Linked DNA regions of Saccharomyces cerevisiae S288C. The protein of the gene in region 2 purifies or fractionates together with the protein of the main gene of each other region. This does not show direct contact. Each region holds a gene or a part of one and is shown on either strand. Other genes may lie near its edges.

What was found.
Region 1: the proteins of MMF1 (region 2) and GPM1 purify together in Saccharomyces cerevisiae (affinity purification with mass spectrometry; 2 studies listed by BioGRID, with this or other methods). This does not show direct contact.
Region 3: the proteins of MMF1 (region 2) and FBA1 purify together in Saccharomyces cerevisiae (affinity purification with mass spectrometry; 2 studies listed by BioGRID, with this or other methods). This does not show direct contact.

Annotation. Positions count from the first base shown.
Region 1 is NC_001143.9:161,966-166,113, forward strand, and holds GPM1 (phosphoglycerate mutase GPM1), read right to left. Parts: upstream 2,421-4,148; coding exon 1,677-2,420; downstream 1-1,676. Other genes in the region: SRP102 (Signal recognition particle receptor subunit beta), read left to right, coding at 1-370; NNR2 (NADHX dehydratase), read right to left, coding at 2,952-3,965. UniProt on the Saccharomyces cerevisiae protein: Interconversion of 3- and 2-phosphoglycerate with 2,3-bisphosphoglycerate as the primer of the reaction. Can also catalyze the reaction of EC 5.4.2.4 (synthase), but with a reduced activity.
Region 2 is NC_001141.2:256,051-261,316, reverse strand, and holds MMF1 (isoleucine biosynthesis protein MMF1), read left to right. Parts: upstream 1-3,036; coding exon 3,037-3,474; downstream 3,475-5,266. Other genes in the region: DFG10 (putative polyprenol reductase), read right to left, coding at 398-1,159; PCL7 (Pcl7p), read right to left, coding at 1,547-2,404; 60S ribosomal protein eL34 RPL34B, read left to right, coding at 4,254-4,290, 4,763-5,091. UniProt on the Saccharomyces cerevisiae protein: Plays a role in the maintenance of mitochondrial DNA.
Region 3 is NC_001143.9:324,732-329,243, forward strand, and holds FBA1 (fructose-bisphosphate aldolase FBA1), read right to left. Parts: upstream 2,757-4,512; coding exon 1,677-2,756; downstream 1-1,676. Other genes in the region: stress-responsive transcriptional activator MSN4, read left to right, coding at 1-389; BLI1 (Bli1p), read left to right, coding at 1,040-1,381; cleavage polyadenylation factor subunit MPE1, read right to left, coding at 3,387-4,512. UniProt on the Saccharomyces cerevisiae protein: Catalyzes the aldol condensation of dihydroxyacetone phosphate (DHAP or glycerone-phosphate) with glyceraldehyde 3-phosphate (G3P) to form fructose 1,6-bisphosphate (FBP) in gluconeogenesis and the reverse reaction in glycolysis.

The sequences.
Region 1 (4,148 bases), on a different chromosome or scaffold from region 2:
TAAGAAATTAACAACAACAGCTGAGTTCTTGGTAGACATATTATCAATTACTGAATCTAGTTGCGAAAATGGTATTGATATCTTAATTGCATGCAATAAAAGCGAATTGTTCACTGCAAGACCACCATCAAAGATCAAGGATGCTTTAGAAAGCGAAATTCAAAAGGTTATTGAAAGAAGGAAAAAATCGTTGAACGAGGTTGAAAGAAAAATTAACGAAGAAGATTATGCAGAGAATACACTAGACGTTTTACAGTCTACCGACGGGTTCAAATTTGCAAATTTGGAAGCATCTGTAGTTGCTTTTGAGGGCAGTATTAATAAAAGAAAAATTTCCCAATGGCGCGAATGGATAGATGAAAAACTGTAATATAATTATAATTTATAACTAGATGAACGATAGATAGTTTAAAAACAAGCATTTAACATAGCTCTAGATTCCGTACGCAGAGAAAGACATAGTTGCATCATCGACACATGCAATATCAAAAGTAACTCTTTTTGACTGCTGGTGTAAAAAACACTCACGATGGGGGTCGAACCCATAATCTTCTGATTAGAAGTCAGACGCGTTGCCATTACGCCACGCGAGCTAATATTTGTTTGATGTTCCAGCAGTTATATGATCTAATTATGCGGGAAAATAATTGAAGATAAGTAGTTTGATGTATTTTTATTATAGTATTATATTTTCTGATTTGGTTATAGCAAGCAGCGTTTTTTTTCTTCTTTACCATAATCATTGTACCAGGAAATTTTGTTCATAATTATTGTGTTGATTGTCAATGGTCAAAGGTACAACTAATGAAGATTAAATATGGTGAATAGGAGGCCTGCTAGCCACCGTACATTTAATATGTCCGCGTGTTGGAATAAAAATCAACTATCGTCATCAACTAGTGGTTATACTACCAGTATATTATCTTATATGGTGTCAAATGTGGACATGATGACATAAGGTATGAGAAACTGTCATCGAAGTTAGAGAAAGCTGAAATACAAGGATCAATAATGTAATAGGATAATGAAACATATGAAATGGAATGAGGAACAATCGTGATATTATTATGTAGAAATATCGATTCCTTTTTGGGGATGCCTATATCCTCGAGGAGACACTTCCAGTATATTCTGTATACATAATATAACAGCCTTTATCAACATTGGAATCCCAACAATTATCTCAAAATTCACCAACCTCTCATGGCGCATATTCATCATGCATGTAACTACCACATCAATGTTCAATCATGGACTTTTAACTAATCTTAAGTACTATTCGAACTGCCCATTCAGCTTTTCCCTTTGCAATTGGTGCACTCCTACTTGAACGAATTCGCGGGGTGTACATTAAACTACGATGTAAACATCAAGGTTATTGCTATAACATGTCATGTCACCATTAATTACCACTCATTCCAACATACTGTCCCTGACGAAAACTGTTTATGCGAGCGCAAAATGAACCTATTCAATTAATAATACTCCTCAAATTGCTACCACGACAGGCTGAAAAAAGATGTCGACGAATAATGTAATCGTGTCAAACAAACGTTATCTTGACTATATATAGCTACTTAATTTGAAATAATAAACTATACAAGTCTATATCATTGATATATTCAGTAAGAAAAATGGAGGGAAAAAGAAATCATCAAATCATTCATTCTTCAGACTTATTTCTTACCTTGGTTGGCAACAGCAGCGGCACCAGCAGCGGCAGCTTCTGGGTCCAAGTAGTAAGATGGCTTAGATGGCTTCAAGTTTTCGTCCAATTCGAAGACCAATGGAATACCAGTTGGGATGTTCAACTTAGCAATGTCAGCATCAGAGATACCTTCCAAGTGCTTAACCAAACCTCTCAAGGAGTTACCGTGAGCGGCGATCATGACGGTCTTACCACTCAACAAGTCCTTGGCAATGACATCTTGCCAGTATGGCAACAATCTGTCAATGACCAAAGCCAAAGATTCAGTTTCTGGCAAGACATTTGGGTCAACGTACTTGTATCTTTCATCACCCTTTTGAGAGAATGGAGAAGAAGCGTCGATTGGGGGAGGTGGAACATCGAAGGATCTTCTGTAGGTGTTGAATTTTTCTTCACCGAACTTCTTCAAAGTTTCAGCCTTGTCCTTACCTTGTAAGTCACCGTAATGTCTTTCGTTCAATCTCCAGGATCTGTTGACTGGAATCCATAATCTGTCAGCCTTTTCCAAAGCAATGTTAGCAGTTTGGATAGCTCTGGACAACTTGGAAGTGTACAAGACGTCTGGGTAGACCTTCTTTTCCTTCAACAATTCACCGGCTCTAGCGGCTTCTTGTTGACCCTTGGCAGACAATTTAACATCAACCCAACCGGTGAATAAGTTCTTTTCGTTCCATTCGGATTGACCGTGTCTAACTAAAACTAACTTTGGCATTATTGTAATATGTGTGTTTGTTTGGATTATTAAGAAGAATAATTACAAAAAAAATTACAAAGGAAGGTAATTACAACAGAATTAAGAAAGGACAAGAAGGAGGAAGAGAATCAGTTCATTATTTCTTCTTTGTTATATAACAAACCCAAGTAGCGATTTGGCCATACATTAAAAGTTGAGAACCACCCTCCCTGGCAACAGCCACAACTCGTTACCATTGTTCATCACGATCATGAAACTCGCTGTCAGCTGAAATTTCACCTCAGTGGATCTCTCTTTTTATTCTTCATCGTTCCACTAACCTTTTTCCATCAGCTGGCAGGGAACGGAAAGTGGAATCCCATTTAGCGAGCTTCCTCTTTTCTTCAAGAAAAGACGAAGCTTGTGTGTGGGTGCGCGCGCTAGTATCTTTCCACATTAAGAAATATACCATAAAGGTTACTTAGACATCACTATGGCTATATATATATATATATATATATATATATATATATGTAACTTAGCACCATCGCGCGTGCATCACTGCATGTGTTAACCGAAAAGTTTGGCGAACACTTCACCGACACGGTCATTTAGATCTGTCGTCTGCATTGCACGTCCCTTAGCCTTAAATCCTAGGCGGGAGCATTCTCGTGTAATTGTGCAGCCTGCGTAGCAACTCAACATAGCGTAGTCTACCCAGTTTTTCAAGGGTTTATCGTTAGAAGATTCTCCCTTTTCTTCCTGCTCACAAATCTTAAAGTCATACATTGCACGACTAAATGCAAGCATGCATGATATAGCTCCTGTCAAAGTATCACCTTGGCCTCCTACCCTCTTGTTGCTGCCCTCTTCGCTGTTCGTCAACATGTCTTTTTCACTATCGGGTGAGAATATCTTATCTGACTGACCTTTCTCCACCACAATACAATTCAATTCCTGGGCGATCAAGCTGCCCATCTCGGAGTGAGAGTCTCCCTTCTTGCCTATGGCATCACATAGTCTTTTGAATTCTACCACATTGGGCGTCAAGATCACTCTACCTTTGGGGTAGCTTTTCAGCATTTCTTTGACTTCGCTATCTTGAGTTACTAAGAACAGTCCATCAGCATCAATTACTAACGGGATCTTGCCCTCATGTTTTTCAAGTATATATCTTATGATATCCTTAATGGATTTTAACATTAGGGGGTCCCTACCCAAGCCGGGTCCAATTACCACAACGTGGATTCTATCCAATAAGGAATTGATTTTCTTCCTTTGTTCGTCCATATCAACGTCTAATTTGGTGTTACTCATACGAAGGTATGGATGAACCATTAGGTTTGGGGTGTACGATTTAATGACCGTACCAGCGTTGTATTCGCAGATGACATGTGTCAAATCACAGCCCATCAAGGCTGTAGCATTGGCGCTGAAATACGGTGCCCCTGTATAATCTTCGCATCCTCCAATAATGCAAACTCTCCCACCAGACTGTCCCTTATGAAACTTTGGCAATAAAGGTGGTATACATCTTTTCTGCGCCAACTTTATCAATTCTCTATGAGACAATTCTGCTAACATTTCCAGTGATACGGTAGTGATCGTATTGAACTGGTGTTGCTAATAAAATTTCACCGACGCCTATATACCTATTTACACCTTTACATATATATCTACTAGATCACGTTGCAAGACCCATCACATCGCATCACATCACATCACTCCCTATTCTGCCCTTTACAGCGCAAAGGAGTCGTGTGTGGG
Region 2 (5,266 bases):
AGCTGATTGTTGAGTACTGTATAAGCTTCAAAAATCCAGATGAAATCTTTTATTGCGTAGATCAGGCTTCTAATAGCAGCAAATTCAGGTGAAACAATGCCTAAAATATTAAATAAAAAATAGGTATTGAGTAATTTTGGTCCTCGTTTTAAGTAACGAATGTGTCCGAAATTCCCAAGATGTCTAACCTTTTGTTTGGCAGTGATAGGTCTTAGCCACTGTGCCAGTATTTACTCTTTCCAACTGCCTCAAAAAGGTATGGCCTTACCTTCGTTTTTAATGACACGTATACGAGCCTTTGCTGTCTAATTAGTGGTAAAGTGATAATAGTGAAAGTAAAGTGGTTCTTTACCGCGTCTATATATATATGTATATGAATGCCCTAGTGTGCACATTACTAGATTATAAAAGGTATTATGGCGTAGGGGGCTACGTGATTGTCTTTAAATTTGTGCCTGTAATAATTTTTTGTTTCCAATGCGGATATAGTCAAACTTGTGATTACCCAAACTAGTGTTAGGTAAAATTCTTGTTCATAGGGCAACAGAGTAGAATAAATGATTATTTCATCGAGATAATGAGGACAGCATACCAACCTGAAAAGCCTTCCTGTTGGCAGCGAATATTTAACCAGATTGGCCAGAATAACATGATTTTTGTACTGATCCCAAGATGCTATGCAGAATATGATGAAAGCATTCATGTTTAACGTATTTGGAATGGAGTTCTTGTACAGTGATATATTAAGAATTAACAAGAGTACGGAATAGAACCATATACCGACTAGATAATGGGACCAATTCATCCTAGAATTGCTTGTATAATGTAGTACATAAAGCGTTTCATAAAGTCGGCGCAATGAGTGTCCAAATATGATCCAAACGATGGGGAATTTAGGATAGAAATATAAGGTGACTAAGGATAGAAAGGTAGCCAAATAGTAAAAATGGGAAAAATACGCCTTTGGAACTGTGAACTTCTTGATTCGTTCTAAAATGCTTGAGTACTTTGAATTCTCTTTGGGCCGGTAGGTTTTACCATATTGAAGAAATTCTGGTAGACAACTTTTTGCTATGAAAAGTGAGCAAATGCCTACAAAAAAGGATAATCTATAGGCATATATAGTATATTTTAGCAATTGTTCTTCATCAAAGTACATTGGACTGGTAGATTCTACGTTTTAAGCCAGATCGGTCCGCCGATAAACCTATTTATATTCCACATTTGGTATATTTTTACTTTTTCGAAACGTCCTTAATTCTCATTTTGGAAAAAAAAGAGAAAGCATAATACTGAATAGAACAAGGACCGAATTTCTCTTTACCGGTAGATTATGATTTATTTGGGCAAAAAGTTTTTTTTTTCATTCTATTGCAATAGCTATCATTTCAGGAGAAATGCTACTAATATGAAAAACCACTGATTTAAAAGGAATATTAAATTATTTAAATATAACCGATATGTACGCGTTACGTAAATCAGAAATTGATATGTATAATACGAGTAACGGTAAGGGAAGGGCATGAATAATATGCAGGACAGCATTCTACTGGTCGTTCCAGAATTTATATAACAAGTTTGCATATTTCTGCATTTCTTCGACTGAAACCAATAACTTGAAATCACATAGTATCAGGAATTGTAATTCTAAATGGTTTAACTCTTGCAAAGAAATACCTCCAACCTTGGCGTATCGAGAGTTACTGTAAAAAAAATCACTCAAGAACTTCGTGCAAATTGTGACACCTGTTATGAGCAATCTATGAATGTTCCCGGAGTCCATGACGAATAATTGCTTTGCGCAACCATTACGCTCAGAAGAATGCCCATAATTTTTGGAGATTCTATCGAAATATACAAGGAGAGAAAGAAAAATATCATTTGTGGTGGGACAGTACTTTTGAATTCTCTCTAAGTACTGAACAACAGCTATCTCTGGAACATTCTTTCCATAGAAAGCAAGGATTGGAGTTAAGAGTTCGTCTTCGGTCTCATCCGACACTTGTTGTGAGACATCTGTAGTTTCATCGTTTGCTGTTATAATTCTGTTGAGTAGCGCACTTATCATTAGTATGAGTTCATCTGTGGGAAAGTCTGCTATGTTTAAGATCTTTACATCAGTCTGTTCATTTGTCTCCTCGTCCAGGCTATGCGTTTTTGCTTCCGACTCTAAAGACTTCTTTACAGCTTGTACAGGAGAACAATCTAGTAAAGATTTCGAAGAGAAAGGGCTTTCCAAACTGGGGTTAGTAGATATTTTGGACAGCAAACTACTATTGTTACTTGAAAATGGATCGGTCTTGAAGCTGTGAGAATGTGGTCCGATTATTAGGTTATCTCTATTCCCCCCTGGTATATTTATTGGCGATGTTGTGGTTTTTTTTGATGGTGAACTTAGCTCCATATTTTTCTCTAGTGTAAGCAGTCGTTCGTTCTAGCTCGGTTTGCTTTAGTCTGATTACAGTAATTAATGTCTGTTAACTTTTGTTGTACTATTTTAAGAACCGTAGATGAATATATAGATATACTTTTTGTATATATAAAGGTTTGAGATGTTGAAGCCTGCGCTGCTATCCCCTGCTTTGTTTACACCGTTTTGGACCCATCGCAAGATACCGAGATTCCGAAACCGGCCTCAAAACTCCCAGAGATTAGGCGCGATAGATAGTAATACCTTAAGCCATAGTATGCCTATGGATGCAAAATGCAATGATCACTGTCCATGTTATACAATTAAAAGAGCCCGTAGAAAAGTGCACAGGCGGTGATCTTAGAAGACCAGTGCTGCTTATTGGATAAGTCTCTATCATTGAAGGACGTTATTCACTTTGCTCCTGTGTACGCTCTCATTTGCGGAGATGCGATTCCGCCTCTGTCGCTCATCCAGCGAAAAACACACCGTATGGATCCCCTGATATATATAAATACATATGACTAAATGGGTCTTACACATGCATAAGAATTAGGTTAGCTAGTAAATTGTGTGAGATTTACAGGTAAAAAGGACAACACATACACACAAATATATTACCAATAATGTTTTTAAGAAATTCCGTTTTGAGAACAGCTCCAGTCTTGAGGAGGGGTATAACAACATTGACCCCGGTCAGCACCAAGTTGGCCCCACCCGCTGCCGCCTCTTACTCCCAAGCTATGAAGGCCAACAATTTTGTGTACGTGTCTGGTCAAATCCCTTATACTCCAGATAACAAGCCTGTTCAAGGTTCTATCTCTGAGAAGGCCGAACAAGTTTTTCAAAACGTTAAGAATATCTTAGCAGAAAGTAATTCTTCTTTAGACAATATAGTCAAAGTCAACGTATTCTTGGCTGACATGAAAAACTTTGCCGAATTCAACTCTGTATACGCCAAACACTTCCACACCCATAAGCCTGCAAGATCCTGTGTTGGTGTTGCTTCCTTACCTTTGAATGTTGATTTAGAAATGGAAGTTATCGCTGTTGAAAAGAATTGAAGGATTGAAACTTCTTTACTGCCTTTTTTCCACTTGCGATACCGAGGAGTGTACATTTATAAACATTTTAGTAGCATTCTTTAGCGTATATAAGATTTTAACTAAGAAAAGAAACGAATTTACGGAGTTTCAGAATCAGTTTCTTGCCGTTGTAGAAAATGTGAGGGGAGTTTCCCTCTACTTGTATCAATGTTACAAGACAGGGGTAGAAACCTATTACGTGTTGGAACTTATTTTCTTGAACACTCTAATCATAAATTCTAAAAAACTGTGACTGTGTTTTCGTCACAACTTTGCGGTGTACAGATGTCGTCACATACCGTGTGTTGTTTGGGTGTTTTCCTTTCAGCTTTTTTTTTTTTGAATTTTTGAATTTTTACTTTCATTTGCTTTCGGAGGTCCCGCTTCCGACAATAGTCCGCTTCATTTGTCCCTTCCCATGAAAGTTCATTCCTTTGGGCAGAGAGACCGTCCTTCTGGGAGGAGATGGAATTGACGCCTGGGGGAGGAGCCAGTAACAATTCTAACTCTTCCTCTTCCTGTCAGTGGCCCCAGCACCCGTTCAGACGGTATGGTAACGGGCTCTCAGGAGCCGTTTCATCGCAGCTGGTGGGTAAGTTTGGAATGTTTCAATAGCATTCTACGTAAAAGTTGATGAACTTATTAGTTGTAAGTAGTAAATAACGGGTAGTACATAGTATTTGGCACTTGTTATATTCTTTTGATTCAATTTACTTTGATTGAAACTGAGAATAGATTAGCAACGAACAACCCTAAAAATGGCTCAACGTGTTACTTTCAGAAGAAGAAATCCATGTATGTTACTGAACTATTTTTTTGAGTTTTCATGAAAACTTATTATGAACTTATTATGAACTTATTTTGAACTTTCATTGTGGGAAAATGAGGTTAAAAGGCGAACGAGTGCTATTTAGAGAAGCGTACCACTTAGAAATAGGAAGAACCAGATCATCGATAGGGGAATCAACTATGCAAGAACTTTCAAATATATTGGCATGACATTAAAACATTAGACAGCATGAACGAACAGTATCCAGTAATGTGGACAGCAATAAGTTGACTTCAGTTTCTAAGTGGAAGACCTTGGTCGACCCAAATGGAAAATGAATTTTTCTCCGCTGTTGAAAGATTGAAATGAGATAATATTCATTCAGCAACGCCGAAATACTTTTCATATGGAGCAATCCCACTCAAGTTCTTAAATCATAGGATAATAAAGAAGTGATTACTAACATTAATGGGAAAATTTTCTCTTTACTACGTACAGACAACACCCGTTCTAACAAAATCAAGGTTGTTAAGACCCCAGGTGGTATCTTGCGTGCCCAACACGTTAAGAAGTTGGCTACTAGACCAAAGTGTGGTGACTGTGGTAGTGCTCTACAAGGTATTTCCACTTTGAGACCAAGACAATACGCTACTGTCTCCAAGACCCACAAGACTGTTTCCAGAGCTTACGGTGGTTCCAGATGTGCCAACTGTGTCAAGGAAAGAATCGTCAGAGCTTTCTTGATTGAAGAACAAAAGATTGTTAAGAAGGTCGTTAAGGAACAAACTGAGGCTGCTAAGAAGTCTGAAAAGAAGTCTAAGAAATAAATTTAAATAAGCATTCCTTTTATAATTACTCTAACTTCTCGTCGTACTAAAAAAAAACACTTTTATAGTAAGATATAAAACAAAAACGAAGATTGAATCTTCCTTTTTTATTTCTGTGTTAAATTCTCTAAACCAGCTTGATTTGCGCGAACCACCTGTCACGGCAGATCATCCG
Region 3 (4,512 bases), on a different chromosome or scaffold from region 2:
CTAGTCAAGCTCACCATGCAGCTCAACATCATCAACAACAACCTACTAAACAGGCAACGGTAAGCCCAAACACAAGAAGAAGAAAGTCGTCAAGTGTTACTTTAAGTCCAACTATTTCTCATAACAACAACAATGGTAAGGTTCCTGTCCAACCTCGGAAAAGGAAATCTATTACTACCATTGACCCCAACAACTACGATAAAAATAAACCTTTCAAGTGTAAAGACTGTGAGAAGGCATTCAGACGCAGTGAGCACTTGAAAAGGCATATAAGATCCGTTCATTCAACGGAACGCCCTTTTGCTTGTATGTTCTGTGAGAAAAAATTCAGTAGAAGTGACAATTTATCACAACATCTAAAAACTCACAAAAAGCACGGTGATTTTTGAAAAAAATAAGGTCAAAAGCAAATAAAAGCAAGACAAGCTACGGTATGACAAGTTTTCGGAGAAATAATATTCTTTCTTCCTCAGTTTACAAAACAAGTAGGTTGGTCATTTCATTCGGATATATTCTAAGGAATGAAATGAACATTGGTGTTTGTTTCTAATATAATCTTAAGATATTTTAAATTGTTTCTTTCCTTTTTTGCCTTTCTAACTATTACTTCAACTTCTTTTCCGTATATTTCCGTTTTTTCCATTTGGCAGATTAAAAAAATTGTGCACGTTCTGGTTTTAACGTATAGACTTCTAATATATTTCTCCATACTTGGTATTTTTTATTCACTTTTTTTATACATATTTGGTTTTTTTATACAATATCAAAAATCAATAATAATTAATTTAATAACAAGAATATGTTGCTGTGATGACTCTTAATATACAATTGGGAAGCATTCAAGGATTGGTACGACGTTTGCTTTCTGATAATTAAACGCTTGGCGTTTAATCTTTTTTGCCGATTAATAATATTATTATTACCCTCTTATTTATTAGCATTGTCTTCCGTACTAAAAGGAGTAGGGAAAAAGGCGAAGTAGAGTGACACGTCCATTACCCAGCGCTTCATAAGAATCCATCAGGTATATTAAATTGTGATGGGAGAACAAAACAAATTGTACTATGATGTCGAGAAATTGGTGAATTCTTTGCAGGAAAGTTTTGACCTGGATTGCGCGCAAAGTGTATCACTTTTCACCAGTAAATCAAGGAGCAATGAGGCTTGGTTGGAAGAGCTAGAGAATAAATTCAAGTTAAAAGATGATGTTGAACTTGATGATGTGGAAAATTTAAGAGCCGAAATTGACATGAAGTTAAATATGTTGGAGGATAAAGTAAGCTACTATGAAAGACTTTACAAAGAACTCGAAGAGTTCCAGAATGAAATAAAAATTAAAACAGTTGTGAATAACAGAAGACAATCGCGAACTCCAAAATGAGCTATCAAAAACGATAGATCGATTAGGATGACTTTGAAATGACTCCGCAGTGGACTGGCCGTTAATTTCAAGCGTGAGTAAAATAGTGCATGACAAAAGATGAGCTAGGCTTTTGTAAAAATATCTTACGTTGTAAAATTTTAGAAATCATTATTTCCTTCATATCATTTTGTCATTGACCTTCAGAAGAAAAGAGCCGACCAATAATATAAATAAATAAATAAAAATAATATTCCATTATTTCTAAACAGATTCAATACTCATTAAAAAACTATATCAATTAATTTGAATTAACTTATAAAGTGTTAGTGGTACGGAAAGTTTCCAAAGACTTGGTGATCTTAGCACCCATGGTCTTTTCACCTTCTCTAACCCAGACTCTTGGGTCGAAGAACTTCTTGTTTGGCTTTTCTGGACCTTCTGGGTTACCGACTGGGGACATTATGTAGTCCTTCTTGTTCAAGACGTAGTCTCTGATACCAGTCAAGTAAGCGTATTGACAGTCAGTGTCCAAGTTGACCTTGACAACACCGTTGTCAATACCAGTGTGGAATTCTTGGACAGTAGAACCGGAACCACCGTGGAAGACCAAGAACAATGGCTTTTCTTCCTTGCAACCAACTTGTTCTCTGGTGTACTTTTGGTGTTCAGCCAAGATTTCTGGTCTCAAAGCGATGTCACCAGCGTACAAACCGTGACAGTTACCGAAAGCAGCAGCAATGGAGAAGTTTGGAGAGATTGGGTGCAAAGCCTTGTAGACGTTGTAAACTTGTTCTGGCTTGGTGTACAAGTCTTCCTTGTCAGCGTTTTCGTTGTTAACACCATCTTCTTCACCACCGGTAATACCGATTTCCATTTCTAACCATTGGTCCATAGCGGCCATTCTCTTGAAGTACTTGACACAAGTAGAGATGTTTTCTTCATCGGTTTCTTCAGACAAATCCAACATGTGGGAGGAGAATAATGGTTCACCGTGTTCCTTGAAGTAAGCTTCATCAGCTTCCAACATACCATCGAACCATGGCAACAACTTCTTGGCACAGTGGTCAGAGTGTAAGACAACTGGGATACCGTAAGCTGGAGCAATGGATCTGATGTAGTGGGCAGCGGCAATAGCACCCTTGATGGAAGCATTTTGACCTTCGTTAGAGATACCCTTACCAGCGAAGTAAGCAGCACCACCGTTAGAGGTTTGCAAAATGATTGGGGACTTGCTGTCTCTAGCAGCTTCTAAAGCAGCGACGGCAGTAGAAGAAGAGGTGACGTTAATAGCTGGAATAGCGAACTTGTGTTCCTTAGCGTAAGTGAATAAGTTGTGGACATCTTCACCAACGATGACACCGGTCTTTCTCTTTAAGATTTGTTCAACACCCATTTTGAATATGTATTACTTGGTTATGGTTATATATGACAAAAGAAAAAGAAGAACAGAAGAATAACGCAAGGAAGAACAATAACTGAAATTGATAGAGAAGTATTATGTCTTTGTCTTTTTATAATAAATCAAGTGCAGAAATCCGTTAGACAACATGAGGGATAAAATTTAACGTGGGCGAAGAAGAAGGAAAAAAGTTTTTGTGAGGGCGTAATTGAAGCGATCTGTTGATTGTAGATTTTTTTTTTTTGAGGAGTCAAAGTCAGAAGAGAACAGACAAATGGTATTAACCATCCAATACTTTTTTGGAGCAACGCTAAGCTCATGCTTTTCCATTGGTTACGTGCTCAGTTGTTAGATATGGAAAGAGAGGATGCTCACGGCAGCGTGACTCCAATTGAGCCCGAAAGAGAGGATGCCACGTTTTCCCGACGGCTGCTAGAATGGAAAAAGGAAAAATAGAAGAATCCCATTCCTATCATTATTTACGTAATGACCCACACATTTTTGAGATTTTCAACTATTACGTATTACGATAATCCTGCTGTCATTATCATTATTATCTATATCGACGTATGCAACGTATGTGAAGCCAAGTAGGCAATTATTTAGTACTGTCAGTATTGTTATTCATTTCTTAGGGCTTGCGTCAGCTTGATGAGGATTTGTGATAGTAGCCGTTGGAGGCATGAAGGGCATTGGAAACATGGGGAAAGGAGGTATACCGAAAGGTAACGGTACTGGTGGCACTGGCGTACCGCCGTTATTTACAGAAGTTGGAAGGCTGGTATTGTTGTTCAAGCCAGCGGTGCCAGTTGGATCCATCAACTTCATTTTCTTAGTTTCTGGCTGGTTGCCATCTTTAGAGCTTCCGTGTAGTTCCTCTTGTTTCTTCAAAAACGTTTCGACCTCCTTTTCCTTGTCCTGGTCGGGTACTAAAGAATCGAGAAGGATATCGCGGGTTTCGCAATTGGGGCATACAAAGTCGCTCTCTACCAGTGCATTTTCCAGCGCCTCTTTTGAGAAATCTATGTTACAGCACTTGCTTGTCTTTACCGGCTGCCTCAAAAGACCACCTGTCAAGGGACATTTTAAATCGTCAGGAAGATCTTTGAAATGGCCTTTTCTCCAAATGGTTTCATCACCATCAATTTGACGGTTCTCTCTTTTCCTTTGGTAGTCTTCCCATGATTGTTTGTCTTCAACTTGTACCACGAACTTGCCTTCGTCCGTAATCATAATCTTTCGCTGAGCCATCTCTTCCGGTGTCATTGTCTCGGGATCTATTTCAATGGATTTTAAAAACTTCTTTGGAATACCTGTGGTTCTTCTGATTCTTTTTCCTTCAAAATTTGGATCGCTGTTAGTTGGACAATTTTTAATCCAGTGGTCTCTACCCCCACAACGATAGCACATATAACCTGGTGGCGGTGGGCCTTCGTTTTCTTGTGCAGAATTCTTATTCGTCTGTGACTTGAAAAAAACAGGTGTGGCTGCAGACATTTCTTCTTGCGTTTGTTCCCATTGATTTTCTTGTGTGGCAAACATACTAGCAATTCTTTCTTCTTCCGTTGTACCACTAACATTAGCAGTGGTTGTAGCAGTGTGTTGTCTCTTTTGCAACACTCTTGGCCTACCAGTAACATACCTTGTTGCGTTCCCAAGAGCTGCTGCTCCCACATTCCCTTTAAGTCGACTGTGTACGGAGAATGATTTAATTGCTGGAGATCTTTTTACTATGACACTAGTAGATCTA